Callithrix jacchus: one gene and its partner. The protein of the gene in region 1 binds, or shares a complex with, the protein of each later gene. Links are inferred from orthologs where the notes say so. Each region holds a gene or a part of one and is shown in the gene's direction. Other genes may lie near its edges.

The links. The genes of interacting proteins can lie anywhere in the genome.
Region 2: STRIP1 (region 1) and PDCD10 share a complex: the UniProt entries of both Homo sapiens proteins name them as parts of the core of STRIPAK complex. The link is inferred for Callithrix jacchus from reciprocal best matches to the Homo sapiens genes STRIP1 and PDCD10.

What each region holds. Positions count from the first base shown.
Region 1 is NC_133508.1:147,906,126-147,909,811, forward strand, and holds the end of STRIP1 (striatin-interacting protein 1), read left to right. Parts: intron 1-225; coding exon 226-430; intron 431-2,206; coding exon 2,207-2,454; 3' UTR 2,455-3,186; downstream 3,187-3,686. UniProt on the Homo sapiens protein: Plays a role in the regulation of cell morphology and cytoskeletal organization. Required in the cortical actin filament dynamics and cell shape. Part of the striatin-interacting phosphatase and kinase (STRIPAK) complexes.
Region 2 is NC_133518.1:19,357,094-19,360,092, forward strand, and holds part of PDCD10 (programmed cell death protein 10), read left to right. Parts: intron 1-1,687; coding exon 1,688-1,766; intron 1,767-2,068; coding exon 2,069-2,151; intron 2,152-2,999. UniProt on the Homo sapiens protein: Promotes cell proliferation. Modulates apoptotic pathways. Increases mitogen-activated protein kinase activity and STK26 activity. Important for cell migration, and for normal structure and assembly of the Golgi complex.

The sequences.
Region 1 (3,686 bases):
CCAAAGTGACCCATAGTTAGGGTGACTGACCATCCTGGTTAGCCTGGAACTCTACTGGTTTTAGCATTTAAAGTCCTATGTATCAGGAAACCCTTCAGTCCAAGGGGAACTGGGATGGTTTGTCACCCTGCCCATAACTTCCAGAGGGTTAAGCGGCAGTGTGACCCGACCGTCTGCATTTAGTTCTGTCCTCACCTTGGGCTGCTTTCTGATCTCCCTTCCTAGATGCTGGTGGTGTTCAAGTCAGCCCCCATCCTGAAGCGGGCCCTCAAGGTGAAACAAGCCATGATGCAGCTCTATGTGCTGAAGTTGCTCAAGGTGCAGACCAAATACTTGGGGCGGCAGTGGCGAAAGAGCAACATGAAGACCATGTCTGCCATCTACCAGAAGGTGCGGCATCGGCTGAACGACGACTGGGCATACGGCAATGGTGAGGCTCTGCACTCAGCCAGGTTGGGATTGGGGTGTTTGGGAAAGGTGACATCTTTCAGTCCCTGCCCGTGGTACTCAGGCACTTCTCTGCCCTGAGCTTCCCACCGAGGAGCAGGAAGGAGCCCAGCTCCTGCTTTTGCTGCCTCAGGACAGGCACTCTAGGAAGGACGTTGGGAAGCTACCCAGGCTTGGCATCTCTGATCATGCCCCATCTCTCCCTGTCCCTCCCAGTCATTCATTTTCTAGAAATTGTTTAAAGACTTTGTCCCCTCTTTTCACCCCCATTTTGGCTACCTAAACTCTTATAGTATAGTTCCAGACTGACTTCCCTTCCTCCAGTTCCTTCCCCTCCATCAGTGTCTCAGATTTCCCTAGTGATTCTTTTTTACTTTAATTTTTTATTTTAAAGATAGGGTCTCGCTCTCTTGCCCAGCCTGGAGTGTGATCTCGGCTCACCACAACCTCTGCCTCCTGGGCTAAAGTGATCCTTCTGCCTTAGCATCCCAAGTAGCTGGGACTACAGGCACTTGCCACTATGCCCAGCTAATTGTATCTTTTTTGTAGAGATAGGGTTTCACTATGTTGCCCAGGGTGGACTTTTTTTTTTTTTTAGATAGAGATTCTGTCGCCCAGGCTCTCAGCTCACTGCATCCTCCATCGCCCAAGTTTAAGCGATTCTCCCACCTCAACCTTTCAAGTAGCTGGGACTACAATTGGATGCCACCTCATCCAGCTAATTTTTGGATTTGTTGTAGAGACAGGGTTTCACCATGTTGGCCGGGCTGGTCTCAAGTTCCTGGTCTCAAGTGATCCACCCGCCTTGGCCTCCCAAAGTGCTGGGATTATAGGCATGAGCCACTGCGCCTTCTCAGGGTGGTCTTGAACTCCTGGGTTCAAGGGATCCATCAGCCTTGGCCTCCCAAAGGGTTGGGATTATAGGCATGAGCCACTGCACCTGGCCCCCTAGTGAATCTTTTCAACATGCAGATCCTGTGCTGTTACTGCCCTGAGTAAAATCCTTCATTAGCTTCCTATTTCCCTTAGAATTAGACTCAAACTCTTAGGCAGGGCATGTGAGGCTCACTCGTCCTTTTTCATTCTCCTCCTCTGCAATCTGACCCAGCTTCCTTTTCAACCTTGTTCCCTGCTGTCAGCCCAGCCTCCATCATACCCAGGGCAACAGGCACAAGGAGTGCTTGGTCCTGGCACATGAGCCATGTGGCTCCCACTGCCAGGCTCTGCAGGCACTCTTCCTTCTGTCCGCAGTACCTCCCCTGCCCACCTGGGCTGCTCTGTGTGTGTGTTGCTGCGTTGTTGTGTACCTGGAATATAGCACCATGGCTAAATGACTGTGTCTGTACTCCCAATGCCCTATGAATGTGTGCAGGCCCATGGTGGCACGCAGTACCTGGTCAGGGAGTTGGGAGAGAACGAGCAAATGAGAGTATTGCCAGGCTTCCTGCCTTTGACCCCAGAGAGCCAGGGAGAATGCCACTTAGACAGAAACGTATTGAATACATGGCTCTCCCTCTCTGGGTCTACATAATCCGTACAGTATAAGCCTCTTTCTCAGTACCTCTGTCTTTTCTGCTTATCCTTGACTCTCCTTTGGATCTAGGAGGGAATTCCTGTCATCTTTCTGAGGATGAACTCGGAGGTGTCCTGCTCCTAGTTGACACTCAACATTCCTAGCCAGGCCCCTGAGCTGCAGTGAATCCATGGGGAGCTGCCACAGGGCTTGGCTCCTAACTGTGTTCTTCCTGCTTTGTCTCAGATCTTGATGCCCGGCCTTGGGACTTCCAGGCAGAGGAGTGTGCCCTCCGTGCCAACATTGAACGCTTCAATGCCCGGCGCTATGACCGGGCCCACAGCAACCCTGACTTCCTGCCAGTGGACAACTGCCTGCAGAGTGTCCTGGGCCAACGGGTGGACCTCCCTGAGGACTTTCAGATGAACTATGACTTGTGGTTAGAAAGGGAGGTCTTCTCCAAGCCCATTTCCTGGGAAGAGCTGCTGCAGTGAGGCTGTTGGTTAGGAGACTGAAACTGAAAGAAAGGATGATCTCAAGGTACTTGCAGTACTGTCCTAGTTCATTGCTGCAGAGCTCCCACTCCCCTCCAGGTGGCAGCACAGCCCCACTGTGTCCTCCACAGTCTCTTCTGGGCTTTGGTGAGCCCAGCTTGACCTCCCCGTTAGTTCCCAGGGTCCTGCTCAGAAGCAGTCATCTCTGCCTGGGATCCATTCTTTCTTTACTTCCTCCACCCTCCTCTCTTGGACATGGTTGACTTTGGCTCATTTCACAATCAGCCCAAGGCTGGGAAAGCTGGAATGGGATGGGAACCCCTCTGCAGTGCATCTGAATTTCAGGGGTCAAGCTGACGCCTCCCGAGACAGACAAATCCTTGCTTTGTCAGCTTGCAAAGGAGGAGGGTTTAGGATTAGGGCCAGGGCCAGAAAGTCAGTATCTTGGTTGTGCTCTGGAGTGGGGGTGGGGGGTTTCTGATGTCATTCCAGCCTCCTGCTACATTATATCCAGAAGTAATCGCAGAGGTTCCTGCAGCTGCCTCAGCACTTTGATTTTGGACAGGGATGAGATAGGAAGAGAAGCTTCCCTTAACCAGAGGGGCCATTTTTCCTTTTTGCTTTTGATGGCTTGTAAATATCTATATATAATTCCGTGTATATTCTCCTGTGTCATGTTGGGGTTTTTAATGTGTTTGTGTATTCTGTTTACATTAAAAAGAAGCAAAATAATTCCCCTTGGCTTGTCTGCAGGAAATATGGCCTCTTTTTATCTCCTCCAGGTCTAGAAAGTGTCTTTTTTCCTTCAGTATTGCTGGTCACCGCTTGTCTTTGCCAAGCTCCCCGCCACTCCCATCCTGGGGGAAGAGGAAGGGGGGGTTGGCATTTATCCAGTGTAAGTTAACTCCACAGTAATCTGGGATTGCTCTCGCCCAACTCCAGAGCACTAGGTTACTCTATTGATGAATTGTCCTGCACCCCTGGGTTTGCTGGAATTTCAGTAGGAGCCCCGGGTTTCTCTGGATCCCATCCCTGAGCTAGCCTCAGCCAAACCAGTGTCAGTGCTAGGGAGGGAGGGACTAGGTGAAAGCAAGAGGATCAGCTGCTCTAGGCCCTCCCTGGGGTAGGTGGTTGGGACTGATCGGAAACTTAAGTGTTGGAGCCTAGGAAGCAGACCATCAGGAGTCAGGGCATGGTAGGAAACAGAGTTGGAGGGCCGAGGACCCCACTGT
Region 2 (2,999 bases), on another chromosome or scaffold:
TAATTTGTTCCCTTGTATTCCATTTTAAATAACTCCATTGCGGATTTGGAGAAACTCGCACATTTTTAGAGTTAATATTTTTTTGTTGTTGAAACTGTAATTTTTCTTGCATAGAATAGTCCTATGATAGCATTTTGTTAAACAGTGGTAGGTTTATGTCCATCACACCAGTATATAAAGATTAACTTGCTTAAGCCATAAACGAAGGAATAGTTATCTAATTAAAAACTGCTGTTACTAAACCAGAGGCAAAAAAAAAAATTGGACAGACAACATTTATTTTAGACTTAGTGTCCTACTTGAATACGTAATGTTTTCAAGTTTCAGCCCAGTACGAGTGTTTGACCTGAGAGAGGTAATAAGTAAAATGTTATTGAAATAATTAATGAAAATGTAATTACTACTTCAGAATAATCTAAAATACTTGTTTATATCAAAATTCTGTATGCTTTTAATTCTTAAAGTTTCTGCATGCTTATTTACTGAAAAATATGCTGGGAAACACATGCAAACAGAAATGTGCACACTGAGGTTTTTTTCCTTGAAATAAGAGTGCTGAAATGTTTCGATATGAAATAACTTAAATCTGACATTTGTAATTAATGTTAGTAATAAAATGTTATGTTTAGGATGGGGCAGATTTACATCTTACTCATTTCTTCACAGTTCCATTTGAACAGGTTTTTGTAGTGACTAACAGCTAAGCGAATGGAAGTGAAAAAGAAGGTTAGTTTTAGAGAATGTGAGACTATTTAAGAATGCAGAATTACATTACAGTTTGACAAAAAAAAATGCTATGAGGTTAGAATGGAAATCGAAAGGGGCTAGCTATAAAGTCAGAAAATGTTCAGAACAAATGGTGCATGGATAGGAAGAGCAGTCAACTCAAATGAGAATTACTGATTTCTTCTTTTTCTTTCTTTAGAAATGGGAGGAAGGTGTTGATGCTTATATGGTCAAAGAATGATTTCTGGAAAGGTTAAAGTAGAAGAATATTGTGATGTTGTCTCCCCCAGTAATTTAAATATATTTTCCAAGGGAATAGTGACTGACAGCAAGTGTTTGCAAGAGGAGGATATTTGGTGGCTGGGTGGAACCTAAAAGTGTCTATGAAAGAGTAAAGGAGGAGGAATATTTTCTTAGAGGAGAGGAATCTTTTCTGAGGAGGAACTATTTTATGTTAAACATCAAAACTAATAGTTATCTAGCATCAGTGTTGTTAAATACAGAATTGAGTTATATGTATACGTAATGCACAATTTAATAAAATCATTATTAATTGTTCAAATAACAAAAGTAGAGAATATGATAGCTTGAATTTAGCTCCGTTAGCTAGAGCAAAGACAAATTTTAAAATGGGAAAAGACAGGCATAGGTAATGTTTATCCTTTTATAAATTTGAGTAGGGAATGCTGAATGAAATGTGATTGATTGGAGAAAGTTGGTATTGGTTGGCAGCCTTGGTGGGTGATGCAAGAGAATTAGGATTACAGAGGGATACATGCTAAAACCCCCTCTTCAACCAGCCAGCCAAGAGGTTGGCTCTTGATGAAGTGATTGTACTTACGATAATTGTGTGCTGTGATTAGATTGAGTGTACTTAATTTCTTTCAAATATAGCTGATGTTCTTTTCTTTCACAAATTTCTTTCAAATGTAGCTGATAATCTTTATTATTTTCCCAACAGGGATATAGCTAGTGCAATAAAAGAACTTCTTGATACAGTGAATAATGTCTTCAAGAAATATCAGTACCAGAACCGCAGGGTATGTTTAGTAGAAGCCTTCCTAGTTGACTGCCTAGTTTTATTGATTTAAAAATAAGATTGATTATTGGAAATAGGTTTGTGTCATTAACCATTGAGTTTATCCTTGAATTTAAATATGCCTTTTTATTTAAAAAATAATTTAAACAATTATTTAATAATAATTTAATAAATAATTGTTGCCTATTAGTAATATTCATATAAACCATCCCATATTCTGTGTAATCTCCTGTCCTTGCCTTTGGCTTCTGTGATTATTTCTCTTACTTAGTATGTTTTTCTTATTATATTTCATGTCTGTAGGCACTTGAACACCAAAAGAAAGAATTTGTAAAGTACTCCAAAAGTTTCAGTGATACTCTGAAAACATATTTTAAAGATGGCAAGTAAGTACTGTAATTTATCCTTTACTTTTAAAGTTAAATAGGTTATGTTGTTTTATATGATAAGAAAACCATATACATTAAGCCCTTTTACTTTAGTGTTTGTATTCCAGGCAACTGGTAATCAAGGCAGACCATTAAAAATAGAAAATGAATGGTTGCAAATCTAGCCATAACTCCATTCTAGAGCAGGAGTTATCAGACGTTTTCTGAAAAGAGCCAGATAGTAAATATGCTAGATTTGGTGGGCCTGTTGCCATTATCCACCTCGTCTCTATTATTGTAGTACAGAAACAAGCCACTTGTTTGTACAAACAAGTGTACAAACAAGGAGGGGTGACTGTGTTTTAATAAAACTTTATACAAAATTCAAATTTCAGTATCTTGAAATAATTTTTACCTGTCAGATAATATTTTTTTTTTTTTTAGCATTTAAAAATGTAAAAAGCATTTTTAGTGTATTGGTCTACTTTATACACTCCTGAAACAATGGTTCTCAAACTTTAATAGCATCAGAGTCATATGGAGGACTTGTTACAGCACAAATTGCAAATTGCTCAAGGGTCCCACTTCCAGAATTTCTGATTTCTTTGGTCTAGGGTGGAGCCCAAGAATTTGCATTTCTTAGAAATTTTCAGATAATGCTGACATTACAGGTCGGTTGAGAACTACTGAACTAAAGTTAAAGCAATAGTTATCAATCCTTCTTATGCATTAGAGTCACTTGAGGCTAGTTTTTAAAAAATTTATTGCCTAGGCCCCACCTGCAGAGATTCTGATTCAGTTGGCTGGGAGTGGAGCCAGGCTTTAGATGTTACGTAAAAGTGTGCCAGATGTTTTTAAAGTGCTAT